Linked DNA regions of Oreochromis niloticus. The protein of the gene in region 1 interacts with the protein of each later gene in a biochemical or structural test. Links are inferred from orthologs where the notes say so. Each region holds a gene or a part of one and is shown in the gene's direction. Other genes may lie near its edges.

Region 1 (7,509 bases):
TCAAAGCAAGCGCGTAGATTTGGTTTTGGCATTGGTGGGGACGGATGATTCAACCACCGAACCCTGCCCTGTTTCTGTTTTTTCCTTTTTGTCTTTGCTTCTTGATAAAAAAGGGAGAAATATACTTGCCCACATATGCTATTCTACATGCTTTTAAACCATTTAAAATTACAATTTATAGTTTTATATGTGAATTATATAATGTTAAATTACTAATAAACAAATGAATGACTAAGTATTTTAGACTTTAGTTTACTTCAGCCATATTCCATATAAATCAGGTATCATACAAAAATAAAAATAGCTTCAAATACAGTCAAGACAATAAAATATGACTTTAAGGACTTAACAACATTCCTTCAGTTATAGTGCACCAACATCTCTGATACATTAGCACTAAGGGAACACTGAATGACCTGCTGGTTTTTGTCCATAAAACTACTCATCTAAGATGACCACAAAGTAAAAGATCTCTCAGCAACATTATGCAACATTTTAGGCACTATTGCCCCGATCAACTCAGTGAGCTGTTTATTCTAAACATGAACTACTGTTACAGCAACAGACATGGACACAACAACTCAATGTCCACTATGTGAAGCAGCCAAACACATGCCTTCTCCTCTCGTTAACTGAGATGAACTGCTGGGATATTTGTTTTACATCTATACTGTCCAGTCTCTCCTGGTGGACATGGCAACACGTTATTCATGGTTACATACAATTTTAGACTGATGTGGGCCAAAGCCTCGCACATACTTGCCAACCTCAGACCTCAGAATCAGGGAGACATTCAAAAGGGCCGTTTGGGGGGGGGGGAGTGGTATACATATACATACATATATATACATATATATATATATATATATGTATGTATGTACAAAAAACTTGAATTTTACAGTGTTTTATTTATCGGATAACATAAGTTAAATGTCACCGTTATTATTGTCCAGCCGGAAACAGGCCAGGGGTGTCCAAATTCAGAGGCTGTGTCTGAGGACCCGGCCTTCGCGATCTAAGTGGGCCGGGTCCTCCGAAAGCCAGGTAGACCGGAAATGAGCGACTGTGAAATTGGATGGTCTAGCCTTCAGAATTACGTCACAAGCTCTCTCGGTGGAGTGAAACTCTGCCATCTAAAATATAACCGGACGCTGACGTAAATTCTCAGCCATCTCACACTTCTGTTTAATCAGTTTTCTGTTTGACGTTTATTCAGCTGTGTGAAAATCCCGGAGGAACCTACCTGAGGGATCTCCAAAGGTTGAATCTGTTCATCTGGACGTAGCGTTTTGTGGGAGAAACGTTTCGTCACTCATCCAAGTGACTTCTTCAGTCTCAGCTGACTGCAGGTTTCCCCAAACCTTATAAACAGTACATTTGCATAATGCCAGCCCACTGAAGGAACAATGGGCTGTGAGGTCAGTTCCTTAATCATAATTATGCAAATTCCCATGACCATTGATCAACAATCACTGACCAAAACCCACTGATCAAAGAACACTGATCAATGGCCATGAGTCCCATTCACAGAGAGTTGGGGAATGGCTGCAATCACAGCATTGTAAGATGGCGAAAGATGTACCCTTAGGCCCCCTCCTCGATTCAGAGATGGTCTTTCCCTTTTCACGTAAATGGCCTCCTTGACTCCGCGCTCAAACCAGCGTTCCTCCCTGTCCAGGATGTGTACATCCTCATCATTGAAAGAGTGTCCACTGGCCTGTAGGTGTAAATAAACTGCAGAGTCCTGGCCTGACGAGGAAGCTCTTCTGTGTTGTGCCATCCGCTTCGCTAGAGGTTGTTTGGTTTCCCCGATGTATAAATCCTGGCAATCCTCCTGGCACTTAACAGCGTACACTATGTTACTCTGTTTGTGTCGGGGGACCCGATCCTTGGGGTGGACCAGTTTTTGGCGCAGCGTGTTTTGGGGTATTTGCATAATTATGATTAAGGAACTGACCTCCCAGCCCATTGTTCCTTCAGTGGGCTGGTTTCAGTCATTATGCAAATGTCCTGTTTATAAGGTTTGGGGAAACCTGCAGTCAGCTGAGACTGAAGAAGTCACTTGGATGAGTGACGAAACGTTTCTCCCACAAAACGCTACGTCCAGATGAACAGATTCAACCTTTGGAGATTTACTTTCCTGGATGATTGAGAATGCATCAAGACCTACCTGAGGGATCAATAAAGTTTTATTTAATCTAATCTAATCTAATAACTTTAATCTCAGCCAAACAGATTTACTCACAAAGTTTACACAGCTACATTCTCGCCTGAAAATATGTTAAAAGTTTATTTTGCGACCCAGAAAGAGAAATAAGAGTAATATTAAAACTAAGTAGCTGCAGTAGTAGTAGCCATTGGTGGAAACTGGAATTGGCTGGGCCAATCTGGGATATGCTTTTTCAATTTTGTTGTCTGGGTGGAAATTCGGGAGAAATTCGGGAGAATGGTGGCTCCGGGAGAAAAATCGGGAGGGTTGGCATGTATGGCGTAGCATAGCCTGTAACGTTATTATGACGGACACATTTTATGAGTGAACTTGACTTTAAGTGACTTACAGGTTCCTTTAAAAAATACTTTCTTATATCCAGGTTCTTCCTTTGTGCTGCCATCCTCCTCTCCTCCTTGCAGGCTTGCGCTGCTAAAACTAAACAGAGCTCCCTGAAAGGCACAGCCAATCACATTGGCCATATTTGTCACATGAGGCAGGACTCCAGTAGAGAACGTAATTTAACTCTTTCTGCACCGCTGGGTGAATGAGACGCTGACAGATCGGGTTTTTTTCTTTCTATCGGGTTTGTTTTTCTTTACTCGAAGAGATCAAATTATTATTTATTTATTTTTATTTATTTATTAACCTTTATTTAACCAGGAAGATCCCATTGAGATTAAAAACCTCTTTTTCAAGGGAGACCTGGCCAAGATAGGCAGCAACAGGTGTCTCACAGTTACAGAGATTATTCAAACATAGGCATCAACAACACACATGCAACAATAAGTGAAAGAAAACAAATAAAAAGCTTATTGGTGGGGACAATTCAATAATCGCTGGATATTGGTGGGGACATGTCCCTTCCGTCCATGCCAAATCGACGCCCTTGCTTCAAAGCAAACAACTGCAAAATGATTTCAGAGATACGTTCACTTCGGTTTGCCATACAGATATACACAGACACAGAGGAACATTAACGTCACGCACACATAAATGAGCTGAAGACGGTGACATATCTGAAAGCTGAATGAGTTGGATCATTTTCTCATTTTTGGATTAAAAAAGAAAGAAAAACATGATCTCATACACTAAAAAACTTTTGCCTATCATTTTAGTCTTTAAGATTATAACATAATGTAAAACTGAAACACATGAACTCCCACGTGGTTACTGTGTGACTCTTTAAGTGCTGTTGGAGTTTCAACGGCAATTTAAACTCAGTTCTTCATCATTGAGACTTTTTTTTTAGTTGAGCAGATAAGTCAGTTACTTTTTTCATCTGTCAGCTCTTTCCCTGCTGCTGCTTTCTTCCAGAAATGCCTAATAGCTCCATAATAATAATCTTCATGGTCATCTTCATTTATATAGACTTTACATACAGTACATGCAGAAGACAGAGTGCCGAAATGAACTCAGTATTTAAACCATTTTTTTGTGCATTAAAGTTTTTGCGTGTGCATGAAGACAACGTGCATGTGCAAATGTTGTTCAAATATGAAATTAATATAATAGCAATATAATAAAAAGAGCTTTTCCTTCATTTAAAATTATTTTTGGTGCTTAATTTGTTTTGTGAAATATTTTCCAGTAAAAACGTGAGCGGGATTCAAACTATCCCTGGTCAGTATAGGCAGCAGTAACACCGTGTTCACAGTTATGATGATAACATCTCCGTCTGAGCACCTGCAGATCTCAATAATGCAATTTAGTATAGTTAGAGGTTGAGTGTATTATAAAAGTCAGGAGTTCAGAGGTATCATTTATATCAAGTACTAATACAGATGTTTGAATGTGTATTCGAGCTCTTACTATTAGAAACAGATGAAATCACATGAAAGTGGAAGTCATCAATGTGAGTCCGGCTCGTTCGGTCTGTGCCGTCTTCATTTAGGATCAGTAACGTGCTTTAGATCACCTGCTGCCCTCTATCGTCTGTATGTGCTACTGACAGCTTGCATATATAAAGCACACAGATTCTCACGCCTCGGTCTGCTATGGTGAAAAGAATAAGAAAACAAAGATTTGGAGGCATGTGACTCTGACTTTGATCCGCAGTGAATGCATTCATCTGTCGTTAGTTTGTTATGTGTGGATAACGCACATAACCACACACTGTCACGCAGGAAGAAGCGCCGCTCTGTCTCCTTGTTTCTCTGCTAAACCCGCCTTCTTTCGGACGCACAGGATGCTGATTGGTCTTATGTTTTCGGCGACAGCCTCTAGAACGCGTCCTGATTGGCTGAGAGCAGGTCTTTGCACAGACGAGATGCAAATCCAGAGCGGTGCCGGTAAAAGGCTGACGCCAAGATCGGAGATGGCCATTCATCTGCAGGGGAAAGGACATAGAAGTAGTTATGATGAAAGCGCTTACTTACAGAAGCAAAATTTAAAATACAGTCAGATTCTCTCCTTTTTTCCCTCCAACGTCTGCCCATTTCCTTCCACTTTCAGTATGAGCGGAAGTTTGTTCTGCTGAGCTTTGAAGACAGAACCCATCTCAAGTCTGACTTCTACTCTGTGTGGAGAACGCATTAAACACATCTGAACGCGTCGGAGACATGTTTGCACGGATTTAAATGTGTCGCGTTTGATCGGGATAGTTTGACAGATAAGTACTGGACGACGCGCACACAGGAATCCGCTTCTTGGCCGCAAACAGGAGGAAAGCAGGAGGCTTATAGTGAAAGTCAGCGAGAGGAGACTGTGGACGCACAGATGGTGTTTCCGTGGGACGCCAAATACGGTACGACGTATTATTCTGGTTATTGTTCACGATAAAGTGTGAAGACATGCGCAGAGAACATATTTGTTCTAGTCAGCTGTCACATTAGTTTGACTGACTGAGCTGTTGGAGAAATGGTGTTCGTCTCTGACGGTGCGGTGGTAGTCCGTGGTTTGTCGGTCCGTGTGTGTTTGTGTGTGAGCAGTGATGGTGATGTCCATATACTGGAATGTGTGTCATTGTACAACAACGTAGTCATTTACAGGCCTGTAGAAAACATTTGTAGCTTTATACATAATCTAGCATAATACAGCGTTCGTGTACCGGTTTACTCTGTGACATCCAAATCAGCTCAAACGATCATTGTCGGGTTATTGGTTTGATCCAGTCCACGAGTCAAAGTTTCTTAGATTTAAATATACAACCCCACCTTTTCTCAGTGACTGCGTTTGTGAATGGAAACACAGTTATTGTGTGAACAGGTGAATGTGGTTTGTAGTGTTTTGTAAAAGGGGAAAAAGTGGAGTCTGAGTTTTGCACTGCTGCCAGAATTCTTCAGAGATTGATGCAAAATGTTAACCATGTGTTAAAGTGCTCATTCTGAACTAACAAATGTGTGCTATAATACGAATGAGTGTTACCTGAGCTCACTAGGATCCAAAACTTTGGATTTGACTGAGCAGGTCATCAGGTTGGTGGTTCAGTTCCCGGCTGCTCCAGTCTGCATGCCCTCCTTGGGCAAGATGTGAACCCCAGGGTGCTCTCTGTGCTCTCAGTGTGAATGTGTGTGAATGTTAGGCCAAAGGTGCTTGTATAAAAGGACGTGAATGAGGACTGTTGTATAAAATACTTTGAAGACTCCAGATTAGAAATTAAAAAATCAGATATAAGAATCAGTCCATTTAACATTTAGACACATGCTGTATAACACAAATGTAACTATCAGCAAAATAAACGGTCACACCTGTTCACCTAGTTACCTTCTCCTGTGGTTGCAAACAAGCGTACGACGTAAACATCTCTCTCCCTCACTCTGTGTGTGTGTTTTATAGATCCCAGTTCAGGTGTGTGTGTGTGTGTCTTTAACCTGAATAAAAAGCAAGCATAGTCATAATTTGTCAAACACTATCTATAGAAATCTTTCTAGTCATTACCTACTAATCTACTTACTGATTGATCATAAGTTGTGACAGAATAGTGAAAAAAGTCCTTATTGGTGCAGGCTGGGGGGAAAAGAAAATATCTGTGAGCAAACAGAATCGCTACGTTTTCTTTTTCTGCTGAAATAATTTCTTAAACAATGAATGAAGCGTGAAAATATATTCTCATACTGTTCTGATGATTACGTGATTCAAAGACTATTTTTTCCTGGGTTCTGTCATAGACCCTGCCCCCGGTCGCCGCTATACTCCCCCCTCTACCACCCTCGCCTCGGGGGGGAAGATGGCCGAGGCCCTGCCTCTCGGAGCCCAGGAGGCCGGTGGTGGAGCTGCTCTGGTGGGAAAACTGCGAATTGCAGACCACGGGATGGTGGAGGTAGGGCAGCATGGGACTGGTTGCTTATTTCTGTTTTAGACTAAAATAACTGTGCTGCTGTTTTTTCAGGTGATGCCAGATCATCCAGGAGAGCTGGTGAAGACAGACAGTCCCAATTTTCTGTGCTCTGTGTTGCCTACTCACTGGAGGTGTAACAAGACCCTGCCCATCGCTTTTAAGGTGTGTGTGTTGTCATTTCAGCACGGGCCGTGCTGTACATCGTAATGGACTGCGTGTACTTAGAGTTCACATACATACCAGGTTTTACTGTTACGTATACAGTTAGCTCCACCTCTAACCAAGTGATCACGAACCTTTCACCTACTGAAAGTTTCCTGATAATAACATGTAGCATTACCTTTATATATTATTACATCATCGTGAGTTCATCTCTCTGTTACTTTGATTACTTTTACTGTCCTTGTCCAACGTGCTGTTCAGTATATTCACCGTCCACTGACAAACAGAGAAAAGCAGCAATTCTTTACATCTGGGAACAAATCTTTGACATTTTGCCTTTAAACGTTAATTGATGTAAATGGTCCGGATGATTTACGACTTAAGTGTTTAATGTACAAAATCTTAACATTTTGTACATTTTCCAGCATCACTCACAAAGGTCCATTTTTACAGACCTTTATACTGTCTTACCAGTGGGTCATATGATCCATCCACCCTCAGTGATTTAACACAAGTTTGTTTGTTTTTGCTGCGTTTCCCTCATGTGGATGGTTTTCCTGCACTTTGAGACAAAATGCATTTGTGGAAAAGCAGCTTTTAGCTGCAGAAAACACAGTGGATTGATTTACTGAGTTTTATGCATTAGTGTTTGCGCATACATGTGTGTGTAAGAGAGAGTTTGGTGCATTATGCATCATTATGGAGTGTCATGAGCGGATGTCACTGCCTCTTACTGATAATGGATGACTGTTGAGATGAACACACACATTTTATGCACACAGCGAAAGACGCGCATCCATATTGTATGTAGCTGATAACACACACACACACACACTCTGCAGGTATTGTTCTGTATACA
Region 2 (7,371 bases), on another chromosome or scaffold:
AATCCAAAAATTCAACAAACACAAAAATCAAATCTCAAAGAAAAAAAAGAAACCAACAACACAATCATTGGACAAATGCAGGGAGTTATATTACATTTAGATAAAGCTAAGATAGAGATAAAAAGAATCACCACAGGAAGGCAAAACCTCGGGTTCTCAGAGGTGAACAAGACCAAAGTTATGGCCATCAAAGCTGACCGAACCTTCCCAGATCACCAAATACAACACATTATCAGTAAATAAATAAAGTAGTAGGTCACTCATGAGCTCCCTAACAGCCTCCTTGCCACTCATTCATGAAAACTTTGTGAACTCCCCCAACGCTAAATTTATCCCTGTTCAAGTTTGCCCTCGAAAACAAGCAAGCAAAGACAGCAGTAAAGCCTTTCCTGTATTTGGCTCTGACCAGATGTATTTCTGCCTGTATCCACAGAGACAAAGGAGTCCAACTGGACTGTAAAACGCTGCTCAGTCATGTAATTTTACAGTTAAGAAGGTAAAGCAGCACAGCTGTACACGGACCTAAAGAGAGTTAAATGGACAAATATGCACATATTTTAGCAGCTCACACTGTAACAGCTCCAGTGGGTCTCATAAACATTCACAGACACTTTTCTCTGCTTCAAATGTTAGAAGATGTAGTTCGAGCTGCACAGCTGTGAATTCAATATTTGCACTGCAAAATCCTACAGTCATGTACACTGAGTGAATGCGTTTCTGTCTCCTTTAAATCGAAGCTGTGCTTGTTTTCTTGCAGCCATGGAGGCGACGGTGGTGGTGATAGCCCAGTCGTGACGGGACAGACAGTGTGCCTTCCACAACACTCGCCTATCTGTCAACCAAGCCAGAGCGACCGGCGGAAAACAAAAAACATGAATAGAGGTAGTCACAGGTGTAACTGACTCGAACGTCCTTTCTGAAATGTTATCAGAGTTGTCTTCTGTATTAGTGCTTGTGAGGTGATTCCTATCATGTCCTCTAGGTGCCACTGTTGCAAAACCTTTCATGATCAGCTGAGGCTTCTTTAAATCTTTCAGCAGGCAGTGGAAGTGGGTTACTGTAATACTGTGTTTTATTTTAGTACTGTGATAGACCACTTTTATAGATAATAAGCTTGCCAATGTGGACAAGACTTTTTAATGGGAGTGTCACCTCAGTGTGATTTACCTGCTCATATCAGCTCACATACATGTAATAACTTTATTTCAGAACCAGAGTTACAAAGTTCTTCAAAATATTTACAAAAAACAATCTTAAAACAGTAGAACGTTTATAAAATGAGAACTGCACAAATAGATGTATAAAGGTGAGGAAAAGCATCAGGTTTAATAACAGATAACAAAATCCAAAAGAGGCAAATCACAGACAATGAAGTGAAGAGCAGGGGCATCTTCAGAATTTTTTTTCATAGGAGTGGCCATATGGGGGCCACTAAAAATATTGGGAATTTCCAGTTTTATTATGCTGTTGTCAAATATTGGTTACTTAAAAAGAAGAGAAGAGAAGAGAAGAGAAGAGAAGGGCAGGACTATTTATACACCCGGGGCTAACCGGTTTTGTGTTACTCTAACGAAATGGTACTAAAACAGGAGAATGAGACACAGGTGAAAGTAATCAGGATATTCAGACAGATGAGTAAAACCCAAAACAAACTATCAAAATAAAATAAAAAAACAATCCACAAAACAGGAAGAAACACTGAGGGAAGTAAGCATGTGAGAAATCCATCTATCCATCCATTTGAGTGTGAGTTATCTTGCCTGTTGTTACAGGCTGTTCAGTTCTTTTACAACACAGTGAGAGCTTGGTCCGTATTGCCAATAATAAGTTGGATTTAGTCCTGATCGCAGTTTGACAGCCAGTGCTGTCCTCTGTCGGGGATTATATTCCTAATTTCTATGGACAGGATTTCTGTGTGTAGGCAAGCACGGGAAAGTCTCCGGTTTTGTGGCTGATCGATCTCAAGTGCTTTGAGTGCTCAAGCAGAGTAGAAAAGTGCTATATAAGAATCAGTCTATTTACCATCTAATATCTGTTTTTTATGGATGTGGTTCTGTTGGCTTCATCAGGTGACCACCTCCATCTCGCACTGGGGTGGTTCGCAGCTGAGTTTGAAGCAATGAGAATGAAAATGATCTCCTCTGAGCCTGGGTGGAGTGCTCACTCTGGGTGAGAGATGAGTTGCTGTGCTAAGTGAAAGAGTCTAAGTATCTCGGGGTCTTGTTCACAAGTGAAACGAACAGGAGACTGACAAACAGATCAGTGTTCCATCCGCAGTGCGGACACTGTACCGGTCTGTTGTGGTGAAGAAAGAGCTGAGCATGAAAATAAAGCTGTCCATTTACCAGTTACCAACCTTACCTATGGTCACAAGCTCAAGGTAGTGGATACAATAATGTCATCTCAAATACAAGTAATGGAAATTCCTCTAACTTAGAAATCGGGTGAGGAGCTCAGTTATTTATGAGTGGCTTAGACTGGAGCCGCTACCCCTCAGCATTGAAAGGAGCCAGCTGAAGTGATTCAAGCATCTGACTACGATACTTCCTGGGTGCCCTCTGGGTGAGGGCAGACCCAGCACACGCTGGAGAGATTATATCGCTCAGCTGGCTTGGACACATCTTGCTATCGCCATAAATAAGGTGGAGGAGGTGCCTGTGTAGAGGGAGGTCTGGGCTTCTCTGTGTAAGCTGCTCCCCCACAATCCAAACCCAGATAAGTGGCAGAAGATGGATGGATGGATGGATGGATGGCTGGCTGGCAGACAATCTTTTTCTCATAATACAAAGGCAGGTACTTACATGACTGTCTTATTATCCATATATATTAGAATTTTCTAGGTTTTAGTCTTCCTCTACAACTACAATAAAAAAAATAAGTGGGGTTTTATTTACTCAAAGGAAAAAAGAATTTTGTTTGTCAAATGGCAGAAAAATATTGTTGTTGTTTATATTTTAGCTTCTGCAACAAAAGTTTGCTTTGAGTGGTTTAAATATTAAGTATGTGAACGTCAGTGCTTCCAGTTATGTAAGAGTGACACAAAAGCTTTATTTTACATACAGAAATAAACATGTTATTGATGCACTTTTCCTTCTTTTCTGATACCACTAGCACCTAAAATAGTTTAGAAAAAAGTGTTGAAAGGTTAAACACACAAACACAGACACATATACACACATACGGAGGTGAAAAATACCTGATGCCAGAAAATATCCCGTAAACACACTTCCACATCCATACCAACACCTGTCTATACTTACACAAATCTCCATTTATGTGCAGACTGGGTAAGAGAATAAGAGAAAATGATTGTAGATATACAGATTGAAACTTTGTTTAATATATTTGCATATTAAACAGTAACTTTAAAGCTTGTAATTAGCAAATTGCTCTGCAAATGACTTCTCTGTTGTCTGATAATGTGCTCAAATTTTAAATAAAGTGATGTAATAACACATGAGATCATATGTTTTTGAGCATTTGTCTGTTCTTTTTGATCTTTTTGGATTAACTTGCTCAAAGGCAAACAGAAGAAAGATAAATTATGTGTCCCCTTTGCTCAAGTTTGTGGTGCAGAACAAGTTGATGTGTTGTCAACTTTAGGAGTGCCAAAATCTACAGTCTACTTTATTCTTAAAAAAGGAGGATTATTGTTATTGCTGAGCACTGGCCAGTTCAGCAATAACAAAAGGCCATGAAGACCACAGAAGACATCTAAGGTGGGTGATTGCTGAATTCTTTACTTGGTTACGAAAAACAACTTCACAATATCCCGTCAAAGTCTACAATCAAGAGATACATTAATGTACATGAGACAAAATTAGACTTTACAAGAAAACACCTAAAAGATCCTGCAGAGGGTTGGACAGATTAAACTGAGAAAAACTTGTGCTCATGATCTGAAGAACATATCACCACTCAAAGATAGTGGAGGTAGTGTAATGGCATGGCCATGTGCCACTGGGACAGAGTTCCTTAATGATGTGACTGCTTACAGAAGCAGCAGGATGAATTCTGTAGTGTACAGGGCTATAATCTCTGCTTAGATTCTGGCAAAGGTGGCAAACACGATCCAGTGCAAATGGATAATGACCCAAACTGCAAAAGCAACAAAAAAACAGATATTCTTCAGTGGCCAAGTAATGATCTCATGTTCTCTATGCAAACAGAGCATGCTTTTCATTTGCTGAAGACAAACCCGAAGGCAGAGATCCACAAACAAGCATCTGATGAGAGGAAACGGCATGTGGTCTGCACTTCAGTCACGTGTGGACTGTTTGATTTAAACCCCACTGTGTACTGCTGTAACGAATGACTCTTTAATGTGTTGGTGGGCTGGGATTGTTTATGATACGGCGTGACGTCACTAGTGTCACTTGCCTGAACAAGCAGAGTAAACTGACCGAGCCAGTCTCCATGAGCCTCTGCAGACTCGAACGACCGCTTCGCAGCTCACTCACTGACCCGCATTTACACCCCAGAATCGCGGAAGACTTGATTCTGGTCGGCCGAGAGGCTCCGGGAGGTCTCCTCCTCCCCCTCCTCACCATGAAGGCGACCAGCTAACGCTAGCCGAGCAGTGTCCGCTAACAGCGGGACTCCTCCGGGCTGACAGTTTACAGCAGCGGCGGGTTCAGAGGAGGAGGGGGTTAGCACCCAGCTAACCACACACTGCTGCCTGTGAGCCGATCAGGAGCTGAAAGGAAGGATTAGACGGTGAGTGAGCTGACTGTAGCAGCGTTAGCCACATGGTTTGTTGTTATCCTCTGTTTACTTGCTTTTCTTTCAATGCTAACTTAGCTAGCTAGCGTTAGCAAAGTTAATGCTCCACATTCAGTTTCTGCTCGGGGCTCTCAAAGAGATTTGGGCGTTACATGTTGAGTAGACTATTAGTTTAGGGAGGTATCATTTCAATAACAGATTCTCTCCTGTGGGCTGCTCTTTATGTCCAACATAGTCTTTGACTACAGGTTAGGGTTAGCAGGTGTCCCAGTTTGTGTGGGACTGCACAGCACCTTCAGCCTTAGTCCAGTTGACATGTTTAAGTTATTGTGTTACAATCAGAGAATAATTGTAAGACACCAACGTAAAAAAACCCCGACTTTAGCATCCATTTATATGTATGAGAAGCTGTAAAAGTTGGATAAAAATAAAATGCAGTATATCTATAACTTTTATAGATCTACACACCAACATGTTGTCTTTATGAGGTTTTAATTTGCTTTCGGAAAGGCATCAGACAATAATACAAAATACAGCAGCTGTTTGTTTTTAAAGTTATATACACCTTTGACATCAGTAATTTTTTCCACATTTAGTTTGTTGGGATCTGGTAACTACTACATGCATGTAACATATAAACTATAATCTTGGATCTGACTCCACTGCTTTTTATGCGTCAGAGGTGCCACATTGAGCAAACTTAGAATAGTGTCAACACAGGTGAGTGTGCGGGTTAAGAGGCAGATTTGCATTATGATGTTGTAACAGGTGTTGTGGTCACAAGTAGGTCATTGTTGCTCATGTATTTATTCTTTTTTTTGCCTCATTTCCTGTTAGAAAATGTGATTAGCTGACAACTGAAAGATTTTCTCTACACGCTGTAATGCATTTTGCCATCAATGTTGTTAATTTATTTATTTTATGTAGGCCCTACAAATATCCTGAATAGGAAATGTAATGACACAACAGTGGCAGGGGGGTGGGGTGCATTGCTTTACAAGACTTAAATAAATAAATACGATAACATAAAATAAATATAATAATAATAATAATAAATACATGTTGCAGATTTTCTTAAATCTGTGTCGCACCTCGTTCTTCTGCAACAGTTCTTGGACAGGTGGGACAAAAATGAAACCAACACTAAAACCTTATTGCAGTTGTGAAGCATGGTGGAGGTAGCATCATGGTTTTGGGGTTCTGCCTTGTGAGTGAACGAGTGGATAAATGGATTTATTTATTTATTTTAAATTTATCTCTGGCCTGATTCTGGCCCAGCATGTGCCCCCCTGCTGGTGCATGCATCAGCCTAACGTCCTGATCTTAATCTATCTGAGACTCTGAGGAATAACCTGTGAAAGGTTAAACATATCCCGACTGTTCTTAGAGCTCCTGAAATGATCTGAGATCATTTGTATGGGTAATTATTACATTAGTATTTCCAAAGAATTCACCCTCTTTCTCGCAGCTGTGTGCGTTGGTGTGTGGAGGTATTTACAGTTTGATTGTGTGGGGGCAAAGGACCTATTTAAATGCTACAGGCTGGGAGTGTCCACTCTTTGTGCTCGTTCATCATTAACCAGACAGCGTATCCTGCAGTTTGAGTCAACAGTTGAACTGTGTGGTCTGAAGGTTCCACAAATGTTCTCCACTGCAAACATGGACCCTGGAATACAAAGGGTTGGTTGCCACAGAAGATGATGTATAATGGGATACAAGAGAGGTGTGCAAGTTTAAATCACAAAAGATTGCACTTGTTGTGTGACTGTGGCCAAAATTCTGCTCATTATTATTTAATGTTATAACTTGATTTTGGGGACATCATGCACTTGTGCTCTTGCTCCTTACTACACATGAAACCAAAGTGTTTCAAAAGAGATGAAGTCATTTTACTTCATCTGAAGCTCCAACAGCCTGTAGGGGGAGTGAATTTGGGGTTTCAGAGAAGAGTGAAAATGCTTCAGCCTAAAGAAATAAAAGATCAACAGTATAAAAGGAACAAAGCAAAATAATTTTTATCTCAGTTATTATGTTCTTATAGTTGTTCAAACCATATTTGTAACTGATGAGTTTTCTGAATCACATGCATTATTCTATTTGCACAGAGGATACAAATAAACAATGCATTTCTAAACTGCCAATTCCATCTCATTTATAAATTGTATTGTGATAAATATCTCTGTAATAATCGTGTTATTCAATCCTTCTAACATTTATAAAAGGCAGTTTTAAGTAGTTTTAAAATGAAAGTTGAAACAAGTTAAACTTGAATTAAATATTTGATTAGTCTGTCAGAAATACAGATGAATTATCTATTTATTGTTTATCCGTTTTTATGTGTTATTTTTTTATTGAGCTTCATTCACTACATTGAGTCAGTTTGTGCAGGTTGGAGACTTGGAGTGTTTTTAATGGATTGTCTGACTGATATTATAGTTTGTTGTGACGTATAGATCATCCGAGAAGTTTGTCTTTAGTTCTTTTTAGTTGGCAAATAATTAACTAGAATGTGTGTGTGCATTGCACCTGCATGTTAGAGTTTGACATGATAAATTACGGTCAAGCTTCAAAATGCAGCCTCCAGAACTAGTAGGCGATATCATAATGTCTACGTCCGTCTCTTATCTTCCATGTTGATAATGATATGAA

Evidence for each region. The genes of interacting proteins can lie anywhere in the genome.
Region 2: the proteins of runx1 (region 1) and elf2b form a complex in vitro, tested with the Homo sapiens proteins (2 studies listed by BioGRID and IntAct). The link is inferred for Oreochromis niloticus from reciprocal best matches to the Homo sapiens genes RUNX1 and ELF2.

The regions. Positions count from the first base shown.
Region 1 is NC_031986.2:3,441,039-3,448,547, reverse strand, and holds the start of runx1 (runt-related transcription factor 1), read left to right. Parts: upstream 1-4,509; 5' UTR 4,510-4,927; coding exon 4,928-4,955; intron 4,956-6,318; coding exon 6,319-6,470; intron 6,471-6,539; coding exon 6,540-6,650; intron 6,651-7,509.
Region 2 is NC_031971.2:37,292,606-37,299,976, forward strand, and holds the start of elf2b (ETS-related transcription factor Elf-2b), read left to right. Parts: upstream 1-4,357; 5' UTR 4,358-4,716; intron 4,717-7,371. Other genes in the region: mgarpb (fibrous sheath CABYR-binding protein), read left to right, coding at 758-795. UniProt on the Homo sapiens protein: Isoform 1 transcriptionally activates the LYN and BLK promoters and acts synergistically with RUNX1 to transactivate the BLK promoter. Isoform 2 may function in repression of RUNX1-mediated transactivation.